2 linked regions of the Pelodiscus sinensis genome follow. The protein of the gene in region 1 purifies or fractionates together with the protein of each later gene. This does not show direct contact. Links are inferred from orthologs where the notes say so. Each region holds a gene or a part of one and is shown on either strand. Other genes may lie near its edges.

Region 1 (15,903 bases):
CAGCGGGGGTTCCCGCGCTTCTGAGGCTTTGCCAGAGCAAAGCCTCAGAGGCGCGGGGAACCGCCGCTGCTGCCGCTCCAGTCTGGGTGCCTGTGGTCTGCTGGGGACGGTCCCCAGCAGACCACAGGCACCCTGACTGAAGCCGCAGCCGCGGGGGGGTCCCTCGCCTCTGAGGCTTTGCCAGAGCAAAGCCTCAGAGGCGCGGCACCCCGCTGCCGCTGCGGCTCTGCTCCCCGTGTCCCTGGTCTGCTGGGGGGGGGGGGGGCGCAGCTAGTGTGCTCCCCCCCCTGCAGACCAGGCTTTTGTTTTGGACTCTGGGGCAGAGCAGCTGGGGCGCTGCCGATTGGTCCTGCAGCGCCCGTGGGCACTACTGGACCAACCCGGCAGCACCCCAGCTGCTCTGCCCCAGGTCCTGATTCAGCCGCTGCTGGTCAGTTTCAGCAGCGGCTGAATCAGGACGTCTGGGGCAGAGCAGATGGGGTGCTGCTGGGTTGGTCCAGTAGCACCCCAGCTGCTCTGCCCCAGGCGTCCCCAAGTCAGCTTCTGCTGAAACTGACCAGCGCTGACTACAGGAAGCCCGAGGCAGAGTTGCTCTGCCCCGGGCTTCCTGGAATCAGCTGCTGATTAGTTTCAGCAGCAGCTGACTTGGGGATGCCTGGGGTTCTTAAGTTGATTCTCTATGTAAGTCAGAACTGGCGGTCAGTTTCAGCAGTGTCTGAATCTGGACGCCAGTTCCGACTTACATACAGATTCAACTTAAGAACAAACCTACAGTCCCTATCTTGTACATAACCCGGGGACTGCCTGTATTGTGGGTGACCATATCAAAAGCTTTGCTAAAGCTGGCACTGGGAGATTTGGGAGGACCAGAAACAACTTATTTGAATATTCATCATTTGATTAATGAATATGCAAATGAAATCCAAAAGTTTGTGAATGGATTTACTGGTCCCCGTGTCAAAAAGTTTGGGAACCCCTGGATTAGAGGATTGGGCCAAAAGAAATCTGATGAGGTTCAACAAGGACAAGTGTAGAGTCCTGCACTTGGGACGGAAGAATCCCAAGTATTGTTACAGGCTTACAAATGGCTAAGTAGCAGTTCTGCAGAAAAGGACCTGTGGATTACAGTGGATGAGAAGCTGGATATGAGTCAACAGCGTGTCCTTGTAGCCAAGAAGGCTAATGGCATATTAGGTAACATTAAAAGGAGCATTGCCATTATATCCAGAGGTGTGATTATTCCTCTTTATTCGGCTCTGGTGAGGCCACATCTGGAGTATTTTGTCCAGTTCTGGACCCCCCACTATAGAAAGGATTGGAAAGGGTCCAGCGGAGGGTAACCAAAATGAGTAGGGAGCTGGAACGCATGACCTATGAGGAGAGGCTGAAGGATTTGGGCTCATTGAGTCTTCAGAAGATAAGAGTGAGGGGGGATTTGACAGCAGCCTTCAATTTCATGAAGGAAGGTTCCAAAGAGGATGGAGAGACGCTGTTCACAGTAGTGAGGGAGGGCAGAACAAGGAACAATGGTCTCAAGTTACAGTGGGAGAGGTCTATGTTGGATATTAGGAAAAACTATTTCACTAGGAGGGTGGTAAAGTTACTGGAATGGGTTCCCTAGGAAGGTGGTGGAATCTTCATCCCTAGATGTTTTTAAGTCTCGGCTTGACAAAGTCCTGGCTTGGTTGATTTAGTTGAGATTGGTCCTCCCTTGGGTAGGGGGCTGGACTTGACAACCTCCTGAGGTCTCTTCCAGCTCTATGATTCTATGATCCTCATAAGTAAAATTATGAGGTCAGAAAAATGCCATATATTGCGTTGTAAAGCTCAGGGACATTAAAATGAGTTTGTGAATGTGTAACTGCTGGAAGTTTCGGTGGTTACACATTTACACACCGGGGAGGTAGCGAGGGGGAGGAGTAGAGAGGCAGGCCAGCTCCTCATGCACTGCAGCCAGCACAGGGGGAAGGGGTTCCTGTGTGTAACTCTGTACGTTAACTGAGAAGCCTGGACTCACTGGTTAACTATGTATACAGGTACACATTCACATCCCTAGGGAAGAATTACACTAGAACTATTCTTTAAGAGGAGTTTGACCATGAAGCCATGTTGAGACTGCAACCAAGATGGGACATTTTCTAGCCCTAATAACAGGATCTGCTTCAATCTCAACAGTTACAGTTAAAAAATGGGTAGTAAACTGATGAGCAGATTCTCAGATGGTGTTCATCAGGGACTTCAATAGAGCTATGCTAACTGACACCATTTAAGGACTTAACTCAATCAAAATAAATGCATTTATGGGTCTCCAGGAAGTTATTGTACCTCTACCTTTTCAGTAGTCAATTCTGTAGCATACTCTATAGGATTTAGCAATTGATTTTTGTCACTAAATTTTACATGATAAATTTACTTACATTTTCATAATCCTTCATGGTCCGAGCTCTGGTTGGTGAAACTATATCTTCCGCCACATCCAGAAACACTAGACAACGGACAAGACAAATCAGATCCAAACCAGCATTCCCTCTAAGTTGCACAGTGGCAGCAGCTTCACAGATGATTAATCAGCCTCACACAATCGGTCAGCTCCTACAGGGAGCCCTGAGCCTGACTGGGCAGGGCTGACTAATCACCTGGGAAGCTGTGCTACAGCGCAGCTTAGGAGGAACCAAACATCCAAATATCAGAGGATCCAAAATTACAATGTTATTAGGGGAAAAAGGTTATTTTAACCATCTGAATGCATTAAAAGCATCAAACAAGTGTATTTTCATGTGCCCTTTTTAAATTATGGACTGAGTTATGACAAAAACAAGGCAGGTGCTCATAGCTGCGCAGCGCTGTGCCCCTCAAGATCAAGGCTTGCATCCATAGCAGAGGTAGCAAAGAAATATTAGCTACTTCTCTATGTATATGATTACAAATAATCAAAGTGTTTCTCTCTCGTGTTCATTCTACAATAGCCAAAATTTAATAAGGAACACAAATGTGGTATTAAGACAGCTATGAACATTCGCAAACTTTAAAAAGGGAAGGGCGGGGGGGAAGAGATTCTATACAGGAGGCTTAAAAATTGCAGATTATATACAAAATGTGACATCATATATCTACATATCCATATATGGAAAAGCTAGAATTGAAGGATTAAGGGAAAAAAGTTTGAAGTACCAAGTTCCCACTGTTTAAAGAAAGTTCCCACAATTAAAAGAAATTATTGAAGTAAATATTTCCAAAGTTATCAAGTAATTCCATACACACTACAGAGCCTTTCAATATTCCCAGGAATGCCAACCAGAAGTCTTCAAATGTTGAAGATTTGACTAACATGATGAGATACATAGAACATCTACAGTAACAGCATCACTGCCATACAGCAATGTAGGTTTATTTCTTATAATTGCTTGCTTTCATAAAAAAATATCTTCCAGTTAGCATATGTAAGTTGTTTTCATTATTGCACAGCAGAATTGTAGACCAGGGAAGGGCAAAAAGGCCTCCTGCAGGCCAGATGCGGCCCGCCAAGAGAGTTGATCTGACCGTGGAGTCCCTGCTACTATCTGCACCCCCAGGCCAATCAGGACCTGGAGGGACGGAGGGGAGGGAAGTGCGCAAAGTCTCCTCCCATCCTGCAAGGGGTGCGGCACTTCTAAGCACCGCATGCTCCTTGCAGGACAGGGGCAGAGCGGGAGGAGACTTTGCACACTCCCAGGCCAATCAGGGCTTGGGAGCAGGAGGAGCGTGTGACATCTCCTCCTGCCCTGCAAGGGGCTCAGAACTTAAAATCAACCGCCAGCTGACTCTGAGCATGGCGCTCCCTTGCAGGGCAGGAGAAGGGAGCAAGAGACTTCATGCAGAACACAGAACCATCCTGGCCTCGTCCCTTCTGGGGTGGCCTAAGGCAACTTCAAAAATTTCTGAAGTAGCACCCGGTCAAAAATTATTGCCACTCATGTTGTAGACTTAGCTTCAACTAAATACACAAAAGCATACTGGACAGAATAACATTCAAAATACAAGGCCAGGAAACTGGTTATCAGAACAGAGAAAATTGCTATAATTATGTATAAGTAGTTTTCATTTGATATTTCAAAATAAATGTTTCATGTTGTATTCTCTCCCAAACATGTAGTAAAATGAATATTCAGCTACTACTCCTACTCCAGAAAGTAAAACATGCTGAATTACTATCCCTGCTCAATACAGTTCAACAATATTTGACAGGAAAAGTCTGGTGAGAGACTTTCACGTGCTCTCTCTAAAATAAAGGACTAAACTACCATCATTGTTTCTGAAATTAGTACAAGAAGAACAGGACCAAAGTCTTGCAGGATCAGGATCTTAATGACAATAGAAACTTAATATGTTGGTATCTTGGCTTAATACAAATTGGCACTCTCTGGTACAGCAACATCCCTGGTCCAGCATCATTTTAGTTAGCTGGATGTCCACCTACCACAGATGTGGCCAAGTCTCCTGCAGTCCCATAAAGTTTGTTTTTCGCCATGAGTCCAGGCTTTCAGTGCTCTGTGCTGTTATTTAGCTCGATTTTACCCCTAAATGTCTTCTAAGAGCCCAGTAAGCAATGGAAGTGGTGGTAATGCTCCTAGACCCGGGGTGGTCTCTTTCATTTAAAAAAGATGTGGCTCCTGCTGCTTCTGAGCCACGCGCCCTGACTATTCAGGCCGGCAGCTCTGCGCATGGCGTCCCAGGGCTTGCTCACGGGCAGCCACTCAGCACACAGAGTCCCAGCGCCTGGAGGGAGAAGTGCGTGGCGGCGGATCCAGGACCTAGGCATTAGGTTAGAGCCGGGGGGGGGGGGGGGGGAGAAAGAGGTGCCTGGCTCTGGGTCAGGGGGATTGGGTTACAGTGGGGGGGGGGGGAGGTGCCTGGCTCTGGGGGAAAGGAGAGGGATTGGGTTAGAGCTGGGGGGGCGGTGCTTGGCTCTAGGAGAGGGGAGGAGGATTGGTTTAGAGCGGGGAGGGGGCTGGCTCTGGAGGAGAAGGAAGGCATTGGGTTAGAGCTGGGGGATGGGAATGCCTGGCTCTGGGGAGCATTGGGTTAGAGCAGGGGAGGGAAGGGGGAACTGGGAATGCCTGGCCCTGGGGAGGGAGGGGCATTGTGGGGGGGGGGGGGCACGAAGCACCTTAAGCTCAAAGTCTCCGTGGATGCAGAATAAGGCAGCCAACACAGATGTCCTATTTAAATTCTAGGGCAAAAAAAGAATCAGCATGTACCTGATTTACAATGTTTCTTTAAAGAATATTCAAAGGCTATTGTTTGCCAGGCTGAAGCAATTATTCTGAGATGTTTTTGAACCTCTCATATTTGCAGTCTGGGACAGGCACTTCAAATTGTGCTAAATTACTTCTCAGTGCAGTTTGATTTAAAAAAAAAAAATCACAGGACATAATACGGCAGTAGTGTTAAATTTCAAATACATAGTGGGAATGCTTTTTTGTGAGAGAGAATTTACTGTATTTTTAAAGGTTTTTTTTTATTTGATGTGTTTTCCTTGTCAAGTCCTCTGAAGATCTATGAATTTAAATTACTAGAGACTTTTGTATTGGTTTTTGTCTGAAATGTCTTGTAATGTTGTTTTTATTACTACATGTTGTGTACTATATCGATCTTTCTCTATATAAATATATAAAAATAAATATACAATACGTGGCTCTTTGTATTCTATTCACCGCTATTTTGGCTCTTTGTCTCTAAGTGGTTGGCCACCCCTGCCCTAGACAATACTCAACACCCATGGTTCGGCAAATTCTCTGCTTCGGAACAGGTCAAAGCTCTAGGATGCTGGACTAAAGCGGTTCAACCTGTACCACTAGCTTCAGTTTATACGGTTTGTTGGTTTTCTTAAAGGGACATTATACTTATAAAAATTATATGTTGCAAATAAAGAAGTTTATTTGCCTGTTACTAACATCTATTAAAAGTGAACTGTTAAGTGTGAAGGCTAGGATTATAACAGGGTTTAAAAGAGAACTAGATAAATTCATGGAGGTTAAGTCCATTAATGGCTATTAGCCGGGATGGGTAAGGAATGGTGTCCCTAGCCTCTGTTTGTCAGAGGGTGGAGATGGATGTCAAGAGAGAGATTGCTTGAGCATTACCTGTTCAGTTCACTCCCTCTGGAGCACCTGGCATTGGCCACTGTCAGCAGACAGGGTACTGGGCTGGATGGACCTTTGGTCTCACCCAGTAAGGCCATTCTTATGAACTGAACTTACTTTTCGCTATTTATGATCTTTATTAACTTTTGACACTTCTACCAGCTGGGTAATTTATTCAGTTTCACTATGTAGTTATTTTCACTTTCAGATTCCCAGTGCTGCAATATTTGCCTAGCAAATACTGTGGGTTAATCGTTTGAAACAATAAGTTTTTAACACAGGAACATTACAGAAATGTGTTTATTAGACTACAGTGCTGTAAGAACAAGTTTGGCTGTTCTCTAGACAAGCTCTTGCAAATAAGATGTTTATCTTCTAACTTTGCACTCTCCTGAAATGAACATTTCAAGCGTTCATTTGACCACTTCTTGTGTGCCATCACATTAGCTGCCCTTACCTCCATTACCTCCTACGCCAATACAAGGTTCTTCTCTGGAGACATCTGGCAGTCTGGAAATACTGACGCTAAGAGTGAGACACAGGAGGCATTTCAGTGATGGAAAGTTTAGAAGCCCCACAAAAAGTCCCTCCTTCCTGAGTACTTCCAGTGTCTCTCCCCAACACACAATACACGGCAAACACCAAAACGTGTTTTGTTAATCTATAAAGTGCTACCAGACCATTTGTTGTTTTTTAAATTTATCCTGTACAGACTAACTCCGCTAACCCCTGAAGCTACCGAAAGGGAGGGAAGGGATCCAGGTAACAGCTTCGCACCCCTTCCCCAATATTAGAAAAGATACTAAGAGCCAAACAGCCACATGGGAGGTGGGGGTATGAACCCCAAGCTGCAGTACTCCTGCCCCTGTGTGTGAGGCCCAAGCCACAGCCAAACTCTGGGGGCTTCAATCACCAGCAGACAGCTCCAGCAAGAGGTGACCAGACCCGAGTGTGTGGGGAGGGGGAATCCCGAGCGCCCCCGGTCTCGCCGGGGGGAAAGGGGTACTCGGATTTCCACACATGCACAGTCGGTCTGGCTTGGAGGAACGCGTGGGGGTGATGCCGAGCGCCACTCCGCTCCGCAGGCCAGACCCCAGTGGGGGGGGGATCTCAAACAGCCTCGCCCACGCCGGACGCCCTAACGGTCCCGGCTGCCTGCCCCGTCCCACCCCGCTCCTACCTGCCGCTAAACTCCACGGGCAGGGTGAGGTCCTCCCCCGGCAGCGAGTCCATGGCGGTGCGACCCCCGCAGGGACCCTCCGGCGGCGGTGGCGGCTCTGGTTGTTATTGTCCGAGTTTGGCGGCTTCGTTGGAATTCAAACGGCCGCAACCGCTTCCGCCATCTTGTATATCCGACTGTGAAGCCACTTAGGCCGCTCTGCAATGGTACGTGCTGAGGGCACGATAGAAAGCTAATGGGGCGCCGCCATCTTTGCTGAGGGCAAATGCTGCATACGCCAGCTTGACTAAGGGCAAACTTTTGCGGCAACCAAGGCCAGCAGCTTTCACCTCTAAGAACAAAGAAGGTAGCGAATGTGGGCAGTAGCCATCTTGAGTGAGGGCATGAAAACGGGCAGCGTGCGCAGCCGCCATATTTAATACAAGAGCGAAGGAGGGTGTGACCAGGCGCCATCTTTAGTCAGGGCAGTTGCGCTGCGAGGGATACTGGTTAGCATCCCGCAGTGTGACACACGCTCTGAGTCCTCTAGTCTCAGTATGATGCGGTCAGTTCCGGGGTGAGAGCAGCAGCCCACGAGTGCTTCTTCCCTGCTGCCTCCGTCAAGGGAGGGAACAGGGGCTGGTGCTGGGGAGAGCAGACTTAAACAACGGTTCCCCGCAGCACCCTGTCTGCAGTGCCTCCTGCCGCCCCACTGCTGCCTCTCAGAGCCAGCTGGGGAAAGGTAGGAGAGGCTGCTCTGGTAGCAGCCCCGGTCCGCGGGGTGGCTTGCCGCAGCCAGCCCTGGCCACTGTGAACAGGGGCTGCTGAACTCGGATCAAGCAGTCCCGGCTCGCACCGGTCTGGGAGCATTGCGACTCTGCAGTGTAAGTGGGGCGCTCAGCACATTTAAAATGCAGAGGTGCAGCAGTCCTAGAGCGAGCCTCCTCTTATCGACTAATCGTGTGGTCCAGCCAGGCTGGGCAGCGCATGCGCTGTACGCCCCAGGGGCAGGCCCCAGGTTGCGCGCCAGCGGCCATGACTGGCCTGCGCATGCGCCGAGCACCCCGGGGGCAGGCCCACGCTCCACAGGCCGGGCCTGCTATAGATACATACGTTTATCAGCTCTAAATGGACCAGTGTGGTGCAGACTAATCTCTCATATAACACATAGGACTTCCCTCAATTAGATCCTCTTTGGTTGTTTTTCTAAAAGATTTGCACTAATTTAATGTTGTTTTTAAAGAGCCTGTCAGGACAGTTCCCCATTCTGGCACTCTGAGTGCAGAAGGTGGGGGCCAGCGAAGACTTTAAATATACCTTGCCTCTGCAGGCTCTGGTTACAAAAACTCCCCCAGAGTCACAGATTCACTGAGTTTGGGAGGTAGCTCCCACCATCAAGTGACTTATCCCTAAAACCAGGGGGGAACACTTGAATTCTCCCACATGGGGCATCCCAAGCTCTTTCACCCCAAAAGAGCTTGAAAAAAGAAAAGAGAAAAACAAGCTGCAGTCTCTGGTAGCTGACCACCCAGTCTCAGGCAAGCAAATACACACACACAGCCCCTTGTTACTTTCCAGGACAAAAGAATCAAATCATCACCTTAAAAAAGTGATTTTTATTAGCACAACAAAGGCTAACGCACACTTGGTTGCTAGATGTTACAGTGCAACCAAGGAAAACAAAATGGAAAATCTCTGGGAACAATTCTTAGATGGTAAATGGGGAAGGGGAGGCATAGATTCAAACAGAGTAGTTCAAACCAAACCACAAAATAAAGAAAAATACCCTGATCATAACTAGATTCACTTTTTCTCATGATCTCTCTTGGTTCAGTCCACTTCCATGCCCCAAATTCCTTGGAGGCATGGTAGTCCTCCCTGGATTTAAATCATTCTGTGTCTCTCTAATCCTGGTTTAACTCTCCCACACAAAGAAAGCAGGCAAGTTATCGTATACAATTCAGATTTCATTACTGTATGCCCATTGGTTCTTCTCACTCCCTGCCAACACCCTTGCTAGCTACCTGAGTTTAACCCTTTAGTCACCGGGTGCTAGCCAGCACTCCTCTTATCCATCACAGAGCCAGTGATGGAGAATCCACCACACTCCCAGGTAAATTATTCCGGTCAATTACCTAGCAGACAATCCAGGTAAAACATGTTTTCAGGCACTGTATCATGATATACATTTGTCTGCTAGGTTGAAGAACATGTTATGAAAATTTTGTTCGCCATGTAAGTATTTATATAAACTGATCAAGCTAGGCCTTAGCTTTTTCTTTGTTAAACTCTGTAGATTAAGCTCCTTGAGCCTATCACTATAAGGTGGTTTCTAATCCTTTAATCATTCTTATGGTTCTTGTGTGATGGATAGACAGATACTTTGTGTAACATACTTAATAAGCAAGTATAAAGCACAGTGCTATAGTTCCAGCTAAAAGACTCTCTATATCCATACATGGGATGGTAGACTAACTATCAGTATGGCAAAAAATCATGTGACCGTGTATAGTTACGACAATCCCATGAAGGAATTATAGCAATAGTTTCAATGCTCTTTGTTACTTTCATAGCTACATGGATCCAAACAGCAAGAATCCTATCTTTCATAATAATTCAACCTGAAAATACTGTAAAATAACTTTTCTAAAATTGTTTTTCTTGCCCAGTAAAGAGATGAAAGATAGTCAGAAAATACTTCAGAAGAACTGGTGTTTTGCCAAAATGATTTACTTAACTATGCATTGCATCATGAGCCTGTGTTTTGTAGCAGTAGTAGTGTTCCCTTTTCTCATTGTGTGTATGTGATTTCTATTATTGCTACTTTCTTGTACCTCGATAGCTACCGGAATACAATTGAAAGGCAGAAGAGCCAATTTTCAATATGATCTGCTCCAGAAATGTGATGTATTTCTTCAACTGTATTATTTTATCTTTTAAAAAAAAAAAAAAATGAAAGTGATCATCCACATGGAATTCTGTATTTCAACATTATTTTTACATTTAATCATAGAAGCAGATTTATATTGGCTTATATAAGCTATTGTCTCAAAATTGTTTTTTTCTAACTATATTTAATATTTCCAATTTAGGAGGTGTCGCATCTCCCTGTGCAAATACAATCAATTTATTCCTTTGGTGAGCACAGCAGCATGCTGACTTTGCTTTAGAACAGCACATGCCGAGGGCCACAACTTAAGTGTGGTTGCATATACATGCAAATATATATGCAAATAGCTTATTTCACACAATGCCCTGGCACTCCTGGCACCTCCTCTCTGGGAGCTAGAAATGCCGACACTCTGAACCCACCTGTTGCAGCCAGCCCATCCACTTGCATCTTTCATTGCTCACCCACCTGGGAGATGCCTCGCCATTGAAGAGCGTATTCCCAGTGAAGGCCATGTTCAAAGGATCCCACCCGCGGGCCATGCATTGAGCCCCGCGTAAACCCAAACTGTACCACGGCCTACAAAGAAACGGGCCATAGGCCATGTGTTGAGTAGCCCTGCTTTAGAACATTAAACTGACGCACGTACACACAAATTGTACAATAACAGAAATGATCTCACATTCCCACAGTCAGTGATATGGTCCAGATCACCATAGTATGTGAGTGCCCCATAATCAATATAATTTTCCTCACAACACCTATGAGGTAGGGAGGTGCTATTATTAGAGATATTTAATGTTATATAGGAAGCCAAAGGCAGAATTGGGAACTGAGGCTGTGTCTAGACTACATGGCTCCATCGACAGAGCCATGTAAATTAGGGTTGTAGGCAAAGGGAAATGAAGCGGCAATTTAAATAATCGCCGCTTCATTTAAATTTAAATGGCTGCCACGCTGAACCGACAAACAGCTGATCAGCTGTTTGTCGGCTCAGCGCACTAGTCTGGATGCTCCGCGGTCGACATCAAAGCCCTTTGTCGACCACTCCGTTATTCCTTGTGGGATGAGGTTTACCGCGGCGGTAAATTTAAATCGCCACTTCATTTCCCTTTGCCCAATAAACAAATCTACATGGCTCCGTCGATGGAGCCATGTAGTGTAGACATACCCTGAATGTGTAAATCTCCCAAGTCCCTGACTACCATTCTAATTCCAAAACCATCCTTTCTCTCTACTTTGTCCTGTCTTTAAGCTAGCAGTTTTCAAACTATGGGTCAGGACTTCAAAGTGAGTCTGTTGCTGAGGTTCAAAGCCAAATTCTCATCAGTGGGGGCCAAAGACAAAGCTCAGTGGCTTCAGCCCTCGATGGCTTTGCCCTCTTCCCACCCCTGCCCAGGGCAATGTGCTTCAGCTTGGACTTTGACCTAGCCCACAGTGGTGGGGCTTGGGCAAGCTTAGACTCCCCGCTCCTTTAGGGTTGTGCAATAATTTTTGTTGTCACAAGGGGGTTGCAGTGCAATGAAGTTTGAGAATGCCTATTCTAAGCAACATATCCATTAGTAGTTTTTTATATTTTGTTACTGTAGCTGGAGATTTCCAACAAGTTCAAAGCTGTATTCCCTGTAATGGCATCTGATCTTGCAAACATATACATATATATGTTTTTAACTTCTCTCACATAAGTGTGCCACCTGAAGTCAGCAGAATTATTGACATATGTAACTTTAAGCACTCATGTAATTATTTGCATATTGGGAGCCATAAGAAAGGGGCCTAATCCTGAAGTCATTTACTGATATGAGTAAATTTACCCTGCTCACTTCAACAGGATTATCTGAATTAATAAATTTACGTAAGTAAGTGTTGGCAGGATCAGATCCTACAATTGCTCTTATACTCTACTGCTGCAGACAAAAGAAAGCATTTCAATAAAAAGATGTTAATGTAACCCTTTTGCCACGTAGTGTCAGCTGCAGCTATGGCTGGGTTAAATATCTGGGGTTCCCTCTCAGAGGGGTAGCCGTGTAAGTCTGAATCTGCAAAAGCGACGAGGAGTCCTGTGGCACCTTATAGACTAACTGGAGTGTAGGATGCATCTGACGAAGTGGGTCTTTGCCCACGAAAGCTTATGCTCCTACACTTCAGTTAGTCTATAAAGTGCCACAGGACTCCTCGTCGCCACAACACAGTACTGGCTCGAGCCCCCACTCAGTAACCTGGGAAATTCACACAAGAGCCCTGCTGCCTCTGGGAGGCAATGCTTCCTCACTCACAAGCAGTTTGAGTGTAGAAAAGACACCAGTACAGGACAAGGAAGAGAACTGGCAGCATGTAACTTCTCGAAGGAAAAAAAGGCCAGCACAAGAATCCCCCATTCCTACAGAGGTAAGTAAATGCTTTCATTGCTCTTCATGGGTTCTGCGATGGTGAATGCTTTGGAAGACCTCACAAGGAAGAAATCGGAAGGAAACCACTTCTACTGGAAGGCATGGGATGCATAGTCCTAGGAATGGGGGTTCCATGACCACCACACCCAAAAGAAGAAGGCGAGTGGTGGTGGTCGGGGACTCCCTCCTAAGAGGGACTGACCCATCAATCTGGAAGTTTTTGGAGAACGTTGGGGATAATTTCTTGGTACAAGTGCTGAAGGAGCCGACCAGAGGCCATATGCAGCTTAACCTTTGAAAGCCTCGGGGGAAGCCGGCGGCGGGGCATCCCAGGCGCGCATGGGCTGCCCGCCCGCCGGAGCCCCTCCGCGGCCTTGAAAGCCTCGGGGGAAGCCGGCGGGGGGGCATCCCAGGCGCGCATGGGCTGCCCGCCCGCCGGAGCCCCTCCGCCGGCTTCCCCCGAGGCTTTCAAAGCCGCGGAGGGGCTCCGGCGGGCGGGCAGCCCATGCGCGCCTGGGATGCCCCGCCGCCGGCTTCCCCCGAGGCTTTCAAAGCCGCGGAGGGGCTCCGGCGGCGGGGCATCCGGCGTACAAGACGACCCCCGATTTTTGGGGGATGTTTTTTAACTTCAGAGGTCGTCTTGTACGCCGGAATATACGGTACTTTCTTTTCTTCCTTTGGTCAGGATCCTGAAATCTACCATCTCATCGAATTAAGGGCTCCGCTATTTCGAATTAAATTTGAAATAGCAGTTTGCATGTATAGATGCTATTAAAGTTCATTCAAAATAACGGCTGTTATTTCAAATTAACTTTGCAGTGTAGACATACCCTGGGAGTGGAGGGCAGGGGAGGCAGAGGTGTGAGCAGCGCAGGGGGGACAGGGAAGGCTGCCCCTCACTTTCCCCAGCAGCCTCTGTCCACAGAGAGCTCGGATCCCCATGGACAGGGGATGCTGCCACCCCACAGTGCTGCCTCTATATCAGAGGCCACAGTGCAGGGCTGCAGGTAGCCAGTCTGCGAGGGGAGCTAGTTTTCAAATTGACTCCTCTTGTGGACTGGCTCCCGCCTGGCACCCTGTGCTGCTGTCTCTGATACAGAGGCAGCAGTGCAGGGTGGCAGGGGACTCCGTGGGTGTGGGGGAAGATTGCACTGGCTACTAGCCCTGCTCCTGGAGAAGTACAGAATAGCTGACTAACCTCTTCAGATTTCATGCAGTTAGTCGACTATTCTGTTATCCACTATCTAACATCCCTAGGATACAGTGCATGACAAAACTGAATGGGAAATGTTAGGCAATGACCAGCAGAGCTGAGGGCTTTATCTCTTAATTGGGTGCAACAGAAAATCTTTGGTGCTATACATTTGGGATCTGATCTTGTGAAGTACTGAGGGTTTTAAACTCCTGTTGCCTTTGACATGAGTTCAGTGTGCTCTTCTCCTTGTAGCCATGGGTCCTATGCTGTGATGTTTTCAATCACCACTAGTCTGTATTCAGTTTAAAAAACAAGTCTACCATATGGCAGCATGCCAAGCTCATTTGAAATTTCTTATTTAGCTTTAGGATGGGTGTTAGAGAGCTCTTCTCTAAGTGTGTGACAGTCTGGCTACTTAGCACAATAAATTAATTATTGAGTTTAAATGAGGAACTTTCTCTTTCTTATATGACATGGCATTAAATCAATGACAATAAGAAACAATCTTTAGGCAAAGCACCTTTTAAATGATATAGGCCTGTGCAGCATATATCCTGTCCAAAAGGGACTCCCATATGTTTGTGCAGACACATGCTGTGTAGCCATCCTCATGAACCACCACTGTTCAAATTAAATCTGCTGCCAAGCTTGAGGTGGTAAATGTACATTCAACTTGCAAAAGGATAACTCTTTCTGATCAAACAGAAAAGATAAAAACAATCAAATGGATCATTAACTGGAGTTATGTGCAATTTTCATGGGGTTACTGTAATGTCTATTTTACAAAATCTGCAGCAGCAGCATCAAATTTGCAAAGGAAAATTATGCAGCATTTTGAAGAAATTAACTTGCCTTCTGTTAATCAGATTAAGTGTTTAGTTTTATCTTAAATAAAAGCATGTTTTAGAAGATTACAGTAAATCCTCAGACCAACAAGTTGTATTGGAAAAGCCTGTCATACATCCTGCTGTGGCTGAGATCTTTGCCATTTCAGAAATGAAGTACAAAATGGAGGGAAACAATGGAGACCCCCATCTCTGCATATGTAATTATGTGGTTCCACAAGCTCATAAGGAAGCATACAAGAGGTGCACACCTTAATATAGCCCCAGGGTTTTCTATGAGTGGTAGAATAATTGTGCTCATGCTTAGCTTCTTTACCTGGGCTTTCCTCAGACGAACAGTATTTGCTGCAGTGTTCTCAACTGACTCCATAATGAACCTGATCCTCTCACTAATAGCCTGATCCTGCTCCCATTTAAGTCGAGCAAAATTCCCATTGACTTATAAGATTAAATTCTTTCACTAGTATTATCAGGAGTAAATGAAACCAATAGAAGTGCTGAGAAGAAGATACTCAATGCCTTAATTTTTAAAGCTCCAGTTCAGTAAAGTACCTGCACATTCTTAATTACCATTAATTTATCCCCATTACTTAAGTGCTTTGCTGATTTAGGGACAAAGAGAGTCATAAATAACATTCAGTTGCAATGACAGTCTTATTATTTGGTATTTACTTCTCCTTTGCAAGTGGGAGTTACCTTCCTAGCAATGACAAGTGAGAAAGAACTGTGAAGATTCCAGAAGCAAAGTTTTTTTTGGCTTTTGTTTGTTTGTTTTTGTTTTTCGGTTGTTGGTTTCTTTGTTTTTTGGCAGATATAACCAGCCTTTCTAAATCATCAGCTCCTCAGAAGCAGGTCTCAGAGATACCTGATCCACACAGAATTCCTTTGAAATTCCCAAAGAAGATGTAGAAAACACCCACGATACTATGGCTTTCTCTAATTTCACTTTTACTTGATTGCATACTTTTATGCCAAAATAACTATGTAGCAGTAAGAACACTTCTACTGTGAGTAGAGACTCATTGACTGACAAGCTAGTGAGCCGTAAAAGTAATATGTGTTAACAAGAATATAAATAAAAATAGACAAAAGTTTTCATAGGGCTTTAAAAACACTAATGTGACAGTGTGACTTGTGTTGGCCATATGTTGCTTTCTCTTATATAGAGTAGGTATAACTTCATTGACATTGTCCGGAATAGAGTTACTGGTATGAGGTCACTTTCAAACCCTTAGAGCTCAATCCAACTCTATTGAGGTCAATGGAAAATCTTGCCCATTGACTTCATATGGAACTTGGAAG
Region 2 (15,869 bases), on another chromosome or scaffold:
CTATATATATATATGATACCAAGTCTCTCATAAGATATTTCCAATCAGCCCACTTGGATTGCCCTCAGTTTGTTAACTGGCTCAAGAATACTCCATTAGTATAAGCCTACCCTATTTCAGGTAGAAGGCTATCAAAAAGTTTATGACCTCTGCTGCAATATTTCCAGGGGAATTTCTAAGTTTTCTGCCATCTTCTCTAACAGTTCTTGAAAAGCCAATAAGTTATCTACTGCCCTAGAAACAAAATACCACACTGTTTTCAGAAGATGAAAATTGTCTAGCTAATAAAGATTCATCCTGAAACTGCTCCTCCTCTTCTTAAGAAAGAGGTTTCTGTGTACTCAGTACCATAGACTTTGGGGAAGAGAAGGCAAAGGAAAATCCTGAAGTGGAAAGGAAAAATTGTTGAATTGGAATATAACACCCATATGGATATTAACCATGTTAAGACACAGCATCCCAAGGTACTGACATCACACATGTAATACAGTCTCATGAACTGAACTAACACTGTATCCCAAGAAGAAAAGTTCTCATGAGACTTAAGCAGATATTAGGGAAGGCTCCAAGCAAGATTCAGCTAATGAAGATGACAATGTACTCTAATAGAGAGTACTCAGGAAGTGGAACAATCAATAGCAGCAGGCCATAATTAGATTTTCATAAAGGAAGCCTGGGCTCCTGTTGCATTTAAAATTTTAGGGAAACTAAGATAGAAAAAGCAGCAAAGAAAAGATTTATGCTCTGGTATAATCATGTTCTCCAAGACTGTTAAAAGGATGACCCAGGTATTGCCTTGAGAACTGAGTGAGACTCTGATGTCTAATGTTGATTCCTTGGGATATCAGATACCAATACCAAGCATTTTGAAGGGGAGAGGAGTAACAACTGTGTGTCATCCAAAGTAAAGCAAGTGCAAAAGAAGCTCTCTGGACTGGAAAACAATTCAACAGCCAGCATCACTGAATGTAGCCTCTATGTCACCAAAGCACTTTGGTGCTTGCTTCTCAGGCTTCTTATGAAATACCAGAGACTCGGTTCAGTACCAATAGAATGTCTCTTGCTCAGAGGCAAGAGGGATCTCTGACTATTCCACAGCGATCTTCTTCTGATGTGCAAGCTCCTGTCAGATTTGAGAAGCCTCTTGGCCTCTTGATGGCTGTGAGGGATTTCTCTTTCCTTCAGAACATTCCGGGGATGGCTGGAGCAGCAAGGGGCCATATTAGAAACTCAAAGTTACAAGCTGCTCTCTGATTTCTCCAGGAGGAGAACTTTGAGCCCAGACTCTAAATGTCTGTGTGTTTTTTAATATCATACAAATATTACATTTAGAAGTCACATGGCTCTCTGTAACAATATAAGCACACATGTCCATTTTCCAGCACAATCACTCTTCCACACAATGGACAAGCTATGATGCCCAGTGAGTATCTGAAACACAATAGTACAGCTACTTACTACCTACAAAACTACTTTTCTCGTAAACCAATGTGCAACAAAACAAAGACTAAAATCTAAGTGACTATTATCAAACTATCTACATAAGATGTAGGGACATTAAGAACTTTCAGTTCTCTGTCAAAGTAAACAGCAGGAACTGGCTGGTGGCAGGGATTGGTCTGCCTTTTATGGTCTTCAGTGAAGGAAGTGCAAGAGCATGCAGGGTCCAGGTCCTTGTGGTCACTGCTAGAGAAAAGCCTCACAGCTTCTGTATAGAGGGCACAGACACATCATGCATGGCAACCACATTGGCCTTGTCTTCACTTACTGGAGGATCTACACTCTGATGACTGATTTTCTGGGGTTCGATTTAGTGTGTCTAGTAAAGACCTGCTAAATTAAATGTTGAGGGTACCCATGGATAGCAGTACTCCTGTCAAGAGAGGCACTCCTAGCTGTCATGAGGAGTAAAGGAAGTCGACAGGAGCGTTTCTCCAGTCAACCTCCTGCTGTGGGGCTGCCTCAGAAAATGGTTACAAGGAACATTGACTTCAGCTACACAATTCACATAGCTGGAGATGTGTATCTTGCATTAATTTTCTCCCTCATCGTAGACTTGGCCATATATGGGAGCTCAGAGAACAATCTGTTAGTTGCAGAAAGATTTAGATTAAACATGGTGAATAGGAAGACTTACCTTAGTCTCAAATTGTGTCTTTGTCTCTTCAGTCTTATTCTTCAGACTTATATCAAGGTCTGTAAGAACATCAGAATCCTGGGCCATTATCATGCACTCTTCCTTTACAGCATCATGTGGGTGGTCAGACGCACCCTTCCTCTTCGCCGCCTTTTTCTGCGACTGCGTGTTGTCACTTTTTGTTTTTCGCTGTCTGAAGTGAGCAAACTGTGAATAAAAGATTGAAAGAGATAAATGGAGAGATAAGCAAGGAAAAGGTAACAACACCACAAGATTAATGCACTCATGAATGATAAACAAATTTTTAATTTGACAAAACATGCACGTCCACAGAGAACCTGCTTTATTCTTCCTACTTAGAAACTGAATGTGCAGTATCTAAGCAGCAGTACAATTAGACAAAAACACAAGAGTCAACTTTTTACTAATATTTTCCTGATATTTGGCAGGTTATAACAACAATCCAGAATTAAAACCATATAAATTATTAAGAGACTGAGTGTTGTCCATATACACGAACAAATTAAAATGAGACAGCCTTGAAGTCTCTCAGAGTTCTATAGAAATATAATCTTAAAATTTCTTAGCGCAGCAAATATAAAGACTAGAATTGACAAAGGTGAGCGTCTTCTTGCCTTTCACCTTCCAACAAGAGAATATATAGCAAAACTTCCCTGCCTGAAAGCAGACTGAGATACATAAATAGAAATTTAATTAAGCTAGGTCATTTTAATTTCTTCTGTTGAAGAATCAGATGTTCTACTTTAACAAACTAACACAGTCCTATGAAGCCCTAGGGACTTGCAAATAATGTCACCCATAGACATCTACTACCCATATCTCCTCAGTACTTTAAACAGCTCAAAGATGATTAGAGTATTTTACACTCTAGCACTGTGTATAAGCAGCAATTGCAACCAATATCTCACTCACAGCGTAAGACCAGACATTCTTCCAATAGGAAAAATCAAGGTTACCAAATCTACAAGTAAAATATCATAGTATGTAGAACTACTGCATGCAATCTATATGAAAAATTAACACCTGTAATAGTTTGGTTTTGCTGCAGTAAAGCAATATAGAAAGAAGCAAGACTGCCCTTTGAATTCCACTGGTTTTATGAAGCTTATTTACCTTTATAATTTTCTGAAATGAATTAATTCCTTACATTTGCATATCTACAGCAACTTGTGTTATGAGAGTTTGCACAGCTGCTGTCAGCTAGTCATGTATCGGTTCTATACTAGACAATGCATTAATAAGAGTGTAATCGGGTAACTGATTAATGGATAAGCTGACACTTATCAGTTACCAGTACCGGTTACACTGTTTATAAAAGCTGCTGGGAGTCCCCGCAGCCCCAAGAGTAGTGGCAGCCCCAGGAACCCTGACAGCCACAGTAGGCACACAGGGCCGGGAGCTCCGGCAGTGGAAGTTAACCATATAACAGTTATATCAGTTACATGGTTAATAAATTTTTAACATCTCCAGTTTAAGATACTTAAGACTATGCCCCTTTGCTAAAGCAGAAAGGTCAAGCACCTCACCACTTCAGAAGTGTTTATGCAGACCACTTGATATGTTAAGATTGGGGAGAATTTTTTTTAAAGTGAAATCTTAAGGTTTCTAGCCCCTATATTTCTTAGTTAAAAGGGAAGGTCAACAAATGCCTCGTCTTCCTGATTTGGCACAAAATACAGCCCTAAAACTAAATGCAATTGAGATGCAAACACCATTGTTCACAATTAAATTGTAACACAAAATCCTAATGATTTTGCACTGAATGCCTACAATAGTTTCAGCATTGTTGATTAATCCAGTAGCTGAAGTGTGGGAGAGAGAAGCCCAGAATTGTTTAGGTCTGAGAGACTAATGATAACTATCATTTTTCATCAGTGATGTAAACAAGTCATTAAATATAAACTTTGTCAAAATTCCTTATTCTGAAAGAGCTCTGTGTAACCTGAAAGCTAGTCCTTTCATCACCAGAAGCTTGTCCAATAAAAGATATAACCTCCTCCACCATATCTCTCTGACTCTGAAATACAAAAAACTGTAAAATCAGAATTTTCTGATTTATTCTGACTGGCTAAAGAGCTACAGACTCGGATACCAAATCACACTGCATCAATTTTAGTAATTTAAGACTAGTTTCAGGCTATGCTGTAGATGGCCTGCCAACCAACACCTAGTTTCCCAGTCTACTGTCCTATGTGCTGGACCACATTGGCTTCTGTTACTATTTCAACATATATTTCTATTTGGAGGCAAAAAAAAAAAAAAAATAGTCCACAAAAATAAAAGAAACCTTCAACAGAAATGTTACAGTGACTGCTCATATGAACACTTACGAATATGATCAGGTTCAATGTAAAGCATATTTGATTTTTTTTCCAAATAGTGCCATTTATTTGTTAGGATTAGTACCTAACAAAGGTGCTCAAGACTGAACAAGACATAGAAAACCGTAACTGCACTGAAAAGCTAACATTCTTGGGCCCTGGTACTGTACATTTCTACACATGTGGGAGGATCCATTCAACTAAACCCTGTACATATGAGTAAACACTTATTGTCTTTCCACTACATATAATTATCACTTGAACCTCTCAAGTATCAATCTACTTCCAAGTATATTAAGTCTGTATTAAAAAAGAATCATCCTTATGTTGACCCAGATATGCCTCTCAAGTTTATCAGTTATTTAAGCAGCGGAAAATGTAACTCTTATTGTGGGGTCATACCACTATCAGGAACTATGATCTCCCATCCTTGAGCACTCTCCAAAGCCACCAAATTAAGACCTTTACTTCTCTGCCTACACAACTTCTGTCTTACACTGGAACCTTTTAAACCCTGCCTTTTTAAGTGAATCAAACGAACGTATAGCTGATGTCAGGAAACATCCCTCTCAGCCCCGAGCGTAACTTTTTACACTGATGTCCAAAGTAGAATGTTTCCCACTATTCCTGAATCAGGCATGACGTGCAGGCAGCCAAACGTTTCAGATACCCCCGACAGCAATTCAGGAGGAGAACCCCCCCCCCCCTGACTTTTATTAACATTACCCATTTCTGTAGCTGCACTGCACTCAGCACAAGATTTGCACACATCCACCTTCCACTGATCTGTACACGGAGAATGCAACTCCCTGGGCACCCACCTCCCGCTACGCACGGGGAAGCGCAAGCCAAGCCGGGGCCGGGGCCAAGGGGTGCGCCGCCTGCCCAGCAGCCCCGGCACGGGCCAGCTCTCGGCAGGGGCGGGACGGCGGCTGCCCGCGGCTCAGGGCCGCAGCCTGGCCTGGGGTGCGCGCGGCTCTGCGCGCTCGGGACCCAGCTGCGGCGGCCAAGCGTGTCCCTGGGGGCGCAGGCGCCGGGCCCCAGCGCCCGAGCCCCGTCATTACCCTCGCGCGCCCGGCCTCCAGCTTCCTGCGCCGCTCCTCCTCCTTGTCCATGGCTGGAGGGGCCGCGGCTCCCGGTGCGGGGCGGGGGAGGCGCCTCACGCCCGCCGCCGGGCTCGCAGTGGCGCCAGGCCCACGCCGGGGAGGGGACTCGGCCGGGCCGGCCCAGCAGAGCTGTGAGCGCGGGGCGGGCTCCGCGCTGCAGACACGGCGCGGGCCGGAGGGGTCCCTGAGGGGACGGGGGAGGTCTTTGGGGGGCGGGGCGCTGGGGGGCGGTCACGTGCTGGACTCTCTCCGTGCCCATTCGCACTAACGGCCTGTTAGGAATGACAGGCGGGCTGGCAGAGCCAATGAAACAGCGGCAGCCGCCGCGGCTCTACGGCCGCTTGAGTGGCCCCTTCAAAAGGATGCGAGACAGAGCCCGCCCCCAAAGCTAACTTGGCCAATCACGAGTGGGAGGCCTTAACCCCGGGAAGCCCGAGCTGGCCATTCAGGAGCCGTCAGGCGCCCCGTGGGGGCGGGGCGGAGAGCGCGTGTGGGCTGCGTGAGGCCGCCAGGGCTGGGCGGGAAAGCGCGGAGCTAACGGAATCCCGCGGGGCTCTTAGCGCTGCGGGTTCCCCTCCGGCCCCGCCCCCACTGGGCGGGGTTCTTAGCTCTGTGGCTCCGCCCTGTGGGGCCCCGAGCTGCATGGCCCCCCCGCAGGGACCCCGAGGCCTAGGGACACCCCACGGGCACTTCCCGGGGCCGTGTGCGACACGCTCCGTCCGCCCGCGCGCCCGAGGCGGGAGCCTGCTGTGCCCTGCCTGGGAGCCCCGCCCTCTCCCTGAGGGCCAGCAGCCCGGCGCCTGGGCTCGCGCTGCCCTGGTGCCTCAGGGCCCCTCGGTTTGAGATCCCTCAGCTCCCTAGCCGGGGGGGGGCACTAGCCAGGGGAGCCGTTCCCTAGCCCGGGGGGGGGCACTAGCCAGGGGAGCCGTTCCCTAGCCCGGGGGGGGGGCACTAGCCAGGGGAGCCGTTCCCTAGCCCGGGGGGGGGGGCACTAGCGAGGGGAGCCGTTCCCTAGCCCAGGGGGGGGCACTAGCGAGGGGAGCCGTTCCCTAGCCCGGGGGGGGGGCACTAGCGAGGGGAGCCGTTCCCTAGCCCGGGGGGGGGGGCACTAGCCAGGGGAGCCGTTCCCTAGCCCGGGGGGGGGCACTAGCCAGGGGAGCCGTTCCCTAGCCCGGGGGGGGGGGCACTAGCCAGGGGAGCCGTTCCCTAGCCCGGGGGGGGGCACTAGCCAGGGGAGCCGTTCCCTAGCCCGGGGGGGGGGCACTAGCCAGGGGAGCCGTTCCCTAGCCCGGAGGGGGGGGCACTAGCCAGGGGAGCCGTTCCCTAGCCCGGAGGGGGGGGCACTAGCCAGGGGAGCCGTTCCCTAGCCCGGAGGGGGGGGGCACTAGCCAGGGGAGCCGTTCCCTAGCCCGGAGGGGGGGGCACTAGCCAGGGGAGCCGTTCCCTAGCCCGGAGGGGGGGGCACTAGCCAGGGGAGCCGTTCCCTAGCCCGGAGGGGGGGGCACTAGCCAGGGGAGCCGTTCCCTAGCCCGGGGGGGGGGGCACTAGCCAGGGGAGCCGTTCCCTAGCCCGGGGGGGGGGGCACTAGCCAGGGGAGCCGTTCCCTAGCCCGGGGGGGGGCACTAGCCAGGGGAGCCGTTCCCTAGCCCGGGGGGGGGCACTAGCCAGGGGAGCCGTTCCCTAGCCCGGGGGGGGGGCACTAGCCAGGGGAGCCGTTCCCTAGCCCGGGGGGGGGGCACTAGCCAGGGGAGCCGTTCCCTAGCCGGGGGGGGGAGGCCGGTTGCTAACGAGGGGAGTCGTTCCCTAGCCCGGGGGGGAGGCCGGTCGCTAACGAGGGGAGCCGTTCCCTGGCCCGGGAGGGGCCGGGGGGCCAGTCGCTAGCGAGGGGAGCCGTTCCCTAGCCAAGGGGAGGCCGGTCACTAGCGAGGGGAGCCGTTCCCTAGCCAAGGGGGGGCTTGGCTGGAAGGCAGCCGCTCTCTATGGATGTTTCCTCTGCTGGGGCAGGGCTTCTAGGGAGGACTGCTGGACACTGAAGTTGTATTACAGTTTAAATTGTAAAACAAGGATGGGTAGGATGCGGCCCTGGGCCAGATCTGGCCTCCAGGCCTCTCCACTCAGACCCTTAGGCACAGGGCAGCTCCATACCGCTTTACACAGCCGGCTGCTCCCTCTGGCTCTGCTCTGGGTAACAGGGGGCAGGGAAATGCTTTGGGCGCTGCCCTACTCCCAGCACAATTTTTCAGCTCTTATTGGGAAGTTCCTGGGGCTGCGGCAGGCAGGGAGTCTGCCTAGAGATCTTGCAGGCCTTCTGTCCAAGAGCTCCTTAGGTAAGTTCCTCCAGGCCAGAGCCTGCCACTGGTACCTCAGCCGCTCCTGCCCCCCAGTGTTCCAAGCCACTGCCTCTTCCCAGACACGGCACCCCAATCCTCTACCCCAGACCACAATTCACTCCTTCACCCAGTGTCCCTTGGACCCCAGATGTTCTCCTGCACCCCAAACTCCTACCCCAAGCTCCCTTTTTTTGCACCCACCCTCACCTTACAGACACCTCACCTCCTCCATAAGAATGCTGCCCTCAACCACTTAACACAATCTTGGCATGTTCCCCCATCAAAATTATTGCCCACCCATGATCTAAAGCAGGGGTCTCCAAACTACGGCCCGTGGGCCGGATGCGGCCCGCGAGGCCCTCTCATCCGGCCCGTGGAGACCTTTTTGTCTGGCCCCGCCTTCTTCCACGTGCCGGTGTGACGAGGCGACCCCCGCCCGTCCCTGGGGCGCCGCCGAACGGGCCCTTCTTGCCGCGGGGGGGGGACCCTGTCAGGGGTGTGCGGCGTGTACTCAGGCCGCGCCGGGGCAGGAGAAGCAGGCCGCTCCGCTGACAAGCGGCCGCGCGGCGGCAAACGGCGCAGGGGGCGGGGGTTAGCACGGGCAGCGTTCCCCCGCCCAGACTGACAGGGCAGCCGGCCAATCAGGGGGCAGGATGGGCGGTGGTGGTAATGCCCGCCCGGCGACGTGCGGGGGAACGTGAACCCCGGCGGGAACTTTAAAAAGGTGACCCCTTCCGCCCGGGGGGGGGGAAGGAGTGAGCGGTGGCAAGCAGGAGGGGAGGACAGCGTGCAGAGGAAGGGGAGAGCAGGGGGAAAAGCCCCCCCCCCCCTTCCGGGAGAAACGGATTCGCAGGCGAATATTCTGAAGAGGAAACATTAAAAGCAACAATCTCTCTACCATAAGTGGATATATTTGCACACTATATTCAGGTAAGTTTAACTTAAGAAATCATAAGAATTTTTAAAAATTGTTTCGGGTAAAGTTCAAAATAGGACTGGTGGGTTTTTACCAGTTTTTGCCCAAGGAAGACTTTCCTAATGTCAAAACTTTTGCATCAAGGTACCTTTCAATCTTTGGAACTACATACCTGTGTGAACAAACATTTTCAAGAATGAAATATGTGAAGAACAATTTGAGAACAAACTTGTCCAATGATAATCTCAGGTCACTGTTGATGTTAGGGACAACAAATCTAAAGCCAGAAATGTCTGCTATTTTGGCATCCAGGAAACAATTTCACCATTCACACTAATACAGGTGTTCATGTGTAGTGTATCAATGTGTTATTAAATAATAACTGAATAAAATAATATTAAATAAATAATTAAAAACAACATCCATGTTTTGATTGTTTTTTATTTGGACCTCAAGTGTGTAGTCGACCCCCGAACTGCTGTTTGATAGTTAATGCGGCCCTCGGGCTGAAAAGTTTGGAGACCCCTGATCTAAAGCAAATAAAATGTTGCTTCCCAGCTCATTATTTCCCATTTGTCTCTCAAAACACACAGATGGTTGAGGAGCACTGCTGTGCATAACGCACAGATCTGGTAACTGTAAGTTATGTTCTTCTCCCAGCTTTTCCAGTCCCCTGCAATGTGGCCTTGGACAAGTTACTTTTCTCTCTGCCTCTCTTACTATTTGTTTAAAATATTTAGATCCCACTTCTGCCAAGGTTTATGCAAGTGTATAATTTTTAAAATGTGAAAATTTCCCTTGACTTATATGGGTTATTTACAGGGCAGAAAATGAAGTGCATGCATAAATCTCTGCATAATCTGGGCATTTGGCTGTACTCTCTTTGTGGCAGGGATTGTCTCTCATGGGTTTGTACAGCACCAGACACAGTGGGGCTCTGACTTCAGTTGGGACCTTAAGGCACTATTCTAATCTGAATAGTAAATAATAAATTGACATAACTCATCCCATTTTTAAAAAAATCAGATGATAAAGACATATACAAACTTCAGTTATCACTGATTTTGATCTCATAATTTAATGGCCAAATTAGCTTGGGAGAAAATGTACATTTTGATTAAATGAAACAGCAAGTGTATCATAGTGGTATATTTTTGTTAGTGCTGCTATTACTAGTGTGGCTTCTCTTTTATTTGGCTTCTTCATGAAGTGTTATTCCTCTACTGTGTGTTCTTCAGGAAACAAAGGGCTTGTTGCTAAGAGCACATTAATGTGGGAGATCAGTAAAAACAAAAAACAGGACTGTGTAGCACTTTAAAGACTAACAAGATGGTTTAATAGGTGATGAGCTTTCATGGGCCAGACCCACTTCCTCAGATCAAATAGTGGAAGAAAATTGTCACAACCATATATACCAAAGGATACAATAAAAAAAGCAAACACACATGAAAAGGACAAATCAAATTTCAGAACAGAAGGGGAATGGGGGGGAAGGGAGGGAGGTAAATGTCTGTGAGCTAATGATATTAGAGGTGATAATTGGGGAATCTATCTTTGTAATGGGTAAGATAATTAGCGTCTTTATTCCAGTTTGCTTGTAGAGTGTCGAATTTAAGCATGAATGACAGTTCAGAGGATTCTCTTTGAAGTGCAGTCTTAAAAGGTCTTTGAAGCAGGATGCAGGTAATCAAGTCGTTGAGACAATGTCCTTTCTGGTTGAAGTGGCAAGAAACTGTTTTTTCTTTGTGATCCTGTCTGATATCTGTTTTGTGGGCATTGATCCTTTGGCGAAGTGTCTGACATCTCTTGTACAAAGACTGAGATAGTGATATGGATAGCATTATGATCCAGATTTGGCAAAGCTCTTCGGTACATGGGTAGTCTAACTGAAGTCAGTGGGAACCATCATATGAGTAAAGACACAGTGGTTGGTATTGTGCCAAGTAGAACAGCAGAAGTAGGGATGGGAATAAAGGGGCACTCTCTACATACTTGTGTTTAGTGTCACCCATTACCTTGGGGTGGGTGGGTGTTAGCCCAATAATTCCATAATCTGTGCTTTCTTTCCTAGATGTTGTTTGACTTAGAGCTGAACAAACTGCATATTGCTAGTGTATTGGACGGACAGGGAAACTACTGTATTCACATTTCAGAGAGAGAGCACCACGTTAGTCTGTTTAATCAAAAACAAGGAATCCTGTGGCACTTTATAGCCTAACAAGTTAATTAGAGCATAATATCTCCTGGTCTGCCGCTCACTTCTGTCAGATGCATATGTACACATAGGGCCAAATTCTGCTTGGTTGCACCTTTGTGATTTTCCTGGCGTAAGGGATCTCCTGGATCAATCTGAACAAATTTTATGCCATTATTTCCAGGCTAGAATATATTTAATCAGTGACCCTCAAATGAATCAAGAGAGTATATTGCAGCTTCTGTTTTTTACCCCTCATAAAAGCTTGGTATGAAGTATGTATTTATTTTTCTATTCTCTTTTGTGACTGTTGACATGTGAACACTTCAACATAACACTAATGTGTTTGAGAGTCCAAGCAACCACCTAAACAACTACAGGCAGTCCCTGGGTTACGTACAAGATAGGGACTGTAGGTTTGTTCTTAAGTTGAATTTGTATGTAAGTCGGAACTGGTACATATTGTAGGGGAAACTCTAGCCAAACATTTCTCCAGAGCTCAGTTTTATTCTCCCACACCTCACTTCCCTCACTCCTTTATTCTCGAGCTGAGGTGTCTGCTGAGAAAAGCCGCTTCGCGTCTCCCTGGTCTGCTGGGGGGGGGGTGCTAGCTTCGCGTCTCCCTGGTCTGCTGGGGGGAAGCAGCTAGTGCGGGGTTGCCTCACCCCATTTGTAAGTAGGGATCCGATGTAAGTCGGATCCATGTAACCCAGGGACTGTCTGTACTCCATATGACAAACCACTGGAACAATATCCTTCGCTGTAATTAATGCATTTGCTGTAAAGAAAACACAAAAGATAAATTAATTTAAACTAGCAGGTTTCATGTGGGTTGGTTTTTATTTTGTTTGGGTTTTTGGCAGTGAGATTTAGTGCCTGGGAGGGAGTCACTTGGTTGATCAGACCTGGCTTTTGGGTTCACAACACATCCGCTTTTGGTCTGTTTTGTTCAACCTTATATATTTTGTTTTTGGTATTTTTTTTTTTTTTTACTTGCTTGACTATGCTGACATTAGTTTTTTGTTGTTTTATTCTGCCCTTTCAAAATTTTTGTTTGCTTCATTTGGGGTTATTAGCACTTTGTTGCATATTGCAGTCTGTGTTACTTGACTTCCCTAAAAACAGGATTATTGTTGGTCATCCAATCAAATTTTGGGGTTTTTTTAGCTTACGTCTCCTGTATCTCAATAATGCTGCCTTGCTTTTACACTTTAAACTAAATTGGTGCTCATTTAACATATTCTGGGTAGGCCCCAACCCATTCCCTTCACAGTTTTATGGTAGTTAATGCAAAATCTAGCTCTTTTGGTAGTGCTGAGAATGTTATCATGGTACTTTTGTAACTTTTCTGTGACTGGATGCAAAGATTCACATGAAAATCAGCATACAGTGAAGGTAATCTAGTCTGGATAGGGTGCGGGATTTGTATGTGAGAATACCGCTACACCCAGCCAACAGTACAGGCAGTCCCTGACTTATGTCGGATCTGCACTTACGAACGGGGCTTTTCTCGCCCCAGAGCTCATGGGCGGCGGGTCACCACCCATGTCCTCCGGGGCGAGAAAAGCTTCTCCCGGTCTCCCTGGTCTGCTGGGGGAGTCCAGCAAAGCCACTGGACCCCCCCCCCCCAGCAGACCAGGGACACCCGAGCAAAGCCGCCCAGGTGGCGGGAGTCCCGCTGCCTGGGCGGCTTTGCTCGTTTGCCCCAGAGCAAAGCCGCCCAGGCAGCGGGACTCCCACCACCTGGGCGGCTTTGCTCCTGTCCCCCTGGTCTGCTGGGGGGGTCCAGCAAAGCCACTGGACCCCCCCAGCAGACCAGGGACACCCGAGCAAAGCTGGGCTACACAGAACTGGCATCCAGATTCAGCCGCGGTTGAAACTGATCAGTTTCAGCAGCGGCTGACACCAGTTCCGACTTACATACAGATTCAACTTAAGAACAAACCTACAGTCCCTATCTTGTACGTAACCCGGGGACTGCCTGTACATTAATACATAGTCCCTCCATCCAACAAATACCCTCAGTTTGCAAGCAACTATAGGTTTTAATGGTAGAAGACATTGCAAGCAACTATAGGTTTTAATGGTAGAAGACATCCTCAACTCGATAGCCCTGTTTGTCCGAATCCTAACTGTAATATGGCAATACCAGGGACAAGAGGCAGCCCTAGAGCATAACAGCAATACTTTTTACTCCCGGGGTGGACAGGAAAACTACATGTGTGGCTTCAGAATATAATAGTCTGATATAGGGATATAAGTGACTAATCGACTATCTGATAAGCAAATGCTTATCGGATAGTCGAGTACCAACTCGACTAGTCACTCGTCTTCTCCCCGCCCCTTGCTGCCGTTATCAGAGAGAGGCAGTGTGATGGTGCACCGGGTTTTTCCCGTCTCCTGCATCCCCATAATGGCATGGACAGACTCCACCAGCCAGTAGAATAGAGGAAGTTTATTGCTTCTCCAGGATACAGCACAGCACAGATGTAATTTGGTTACAGGGCAGGCCTAGGATGCCTCAGCCCCCCCTTGAGATGGGGGAGCCTGGGCCCCTAAAATCCAGCCTGTTGCCTAGCCTGCTTCCTCCATGATACCAGACAGAAACTAACCCTCTTGCAGCCCTGCCCCCCAGCCAGGAGCGGCATTCCACCTTCCTTTGTTTCTCTCCCTGGGGGGTAGCTGGTCGGACAGGTTGAGAGACCCTTGCCTAGTGACTCATCCCCTGTTCTGCTGGGCCGTGCTACAGACAGCAGCCAGTGGGGGTCACCCACAGCCCCAGCATAGCAACCAGCAAGATACCAACACTACGTCACAGGCAGCAAGGAAGGGGGAAGCAGGAGCCAGTGCTGGGTGCAACCAGCTTTAAGCTGGTTACCCCCCAGCACCATCGCTGCTTCAGTCCCCACTCACACCAGTTCCCACTGCGGGCGCTGTACATTTCAAAAGCAGAAGTGCCTCGGAGCATGGTGGGGGGCTGTTGCCGCCAAGCAATGAGGGCTGGCCGCTGCAAACGGGGTGCTCTGGCACTATCCCCTGTTCGTGGCAAATAGGATTGTGTACCGCGAACAGGGCCTGCTGGACTCAGTGGGAGCCAGGACCGAGCAGTCCCAACTCACTCTGATCGCTATGCCTCTGCATTTTAAATGTAGTAAGAGCCCAATGGCTCTTACTACACTTAAAATACAGAGGCGCGGCGCTAGTGGCAAATTGTGTCAACTGTACGATTAGCCAGATAATCACATTTTAACATCCTTACTCTGATACTGCTTCTAGTGTGAGATATGTCAGGGTGTGCAGAAGCAGTTGTATTAAAAATAATGTTGCTGCATAGACAGAACAGGACTTGATCCTCCCCTTACCATCCTTGGTTTTACGTGTCTCTAATTTAAAACAAAAAACTAGCACTCTACAATATCAGTGAAGTGCTCGTAAAAATTAATAAGTAAGTGGCTGAGATCTCAAAAAGCTGTTGTCAGTGGAGAATCATTATCAAACATGGGTGTTTGGAATACAGTTCTGGAAGAATCAGTTTTAAATTCAATGCTGTTCGATATTTTTATCCTCAATCTGGAAATATATAAAACCACAGCTGACAAAATTAGTGGATAATCCAAAGATTGAGTGGGAAATAATAACCATTATGCAGAGCAACTGAGATAATTTGGTAAACTGAGCTCATTCAAACAAAATATATTATAAAATCAAATAACATACATCTAGGAAGAAAGACTATTATTAAAACTAATATTTACTTTAGGTCTTAATCTGAAGACCACCTTTTCAGAAGGATATTGAAAGATTAGAGATGGTGCAGAAAATAGCCTGTATGGTTATACAGGATAAATTACAGACTCACTCTTTTTTTATTAAAAACAGTAAGACATTTTTTGTTAGAGTGGTGGATGAAAAAATCTCTATGAAAGAAAGAAGATCCTATAAAACCTTATGAGCCAGGTTCCATTACCTTTTCAATGAGCTGCTGAGGTAATATCTTTTCAATAAACTTCTTCAGGGCAGACCTGAGGAAAATCTCTTGGAAAGCTTGTCTCTCTGCCTGCCAGAAGTTGGTCCAATAAAAGATACTACCTCTCATACCTTGTGGCTACGTCTACACTGGCCCCTTTTCCGGAAGGGGCATGTAAATTTCATGAGTCGTAGTAGGGAAATGCGCGGGGGATTTAAATATCCCCCGCGGCATTTAAATAAAAATGTCCGCCGCTTTTTTCCGGCTTTTAAAAAAGCCGGAAAAGAGCGTCTACACTGGCCCCGATCCTCCGGAAAAAGCGCTTTGAAGTAGGAATAAGAGCCTCCGGAAAAGGGCGCTTTTTCTGGAGGATCGAGGCCAGTGTAGACGCTCTTTTCCGGCTTTTTTAAAAGCCGGAAAAAAGCGGCGGACATTTTTATTTAAATGCCGCGGGGGATATTTAAATCCCCCGCGCATTTCCCTACTACGACTCATGAAATTTACATGCCCCTTCCGGAAAAGGGGCCAGTGTAGACGTAGCCTGTGTGTGTCATATCCTGGGACTGATATAGCTACAAGAGCACTGCCCCCTTGTAGTAGTCACCTGACCAATGTTCCTTGTAAGCTGTGTGCTTGGGTGGCCACTTGAGAGATTCAAATGCTGCCCAGCTGATTAGCACAGCTAAATGCTGTTTCTATTGGTGTTGCACATTCACAGGTGCCTTGGAGCACATAAAAATGTATTCCACACAGGGATGGAAAAAAAGTCTGCATATGGATGGCAAAGATTAGAAGGAACATTGTCCCAACACTGACCTTGTATTATGAAACCACAGATTGTTTTGTCCACTTTAACTTTTGTCTCCACTTGATGAGC

Evidence for each region.
Region 2: the proteins of CDK5RAP2 (region 1) and PCNT purify together in Homo sapiens (co-immunoprecipitation; 4 studies listed by BioGRID and IntAct, with this or other methods). This does not show direct contact. The link is inferred for Pelodiscus sinensis from reciprocal best matches to the Homo sapiens genes CDK5RAP2 and PCNT.

What each region holds. Positions count from the first base shown.
Region 1 is NC_134732.1:9,782,036-9,797,938, forward strand, and holds the start of CDK5RAP2 (CDK5 regulatory subunit-associated protein 2), read right to left. Parts: upstream 7,682-15,903; 5' UTR 7,356-7,681; coding exon 7,303-7,355; intron 6,648-7,302; coding exon 6,580-6,647; intron 2,486-6,579; coding exon 2,418-2,485; intron 1-2,417. UniProt on the Homo sapiens protein: Potential regulator of CDK5 activity via its interaction with CDK5R1. Negative regulator of centriole disengagement (licensing) which maintains centriole engagement and cohesion. Involved in regulation of mitotic spindle orientation.
Region 2 is NC_134717.1:65,471,789-65,487,657, forward strand, and holds the start of PCNT (pericentrin), read right to left. Parts: upstream 5,770-15,869; 5' UTR 5,595-5,769; coding exon 5,544-5,594; intron 5,266-5,543; exon of another isoform or gene 5,251-5,265; coding exon of another isoform or gene 5,206-5,250; intron 2,345-5,205; coding exon 2,138-2,344; intron 1-2,137. Other genes in the region: C7H21orf58 (uncharacterized protein C21orf58 homolog), read left to right, coding at 7,651-7,912. UniProt on the Homo sapiens protein: Integral component of the filamentous matrix of the centrosome involved in the initial establishment of organized microtubule arrays in both mitosis and meiosis. Plays a role, together with DISC1, in the microtubule network formation.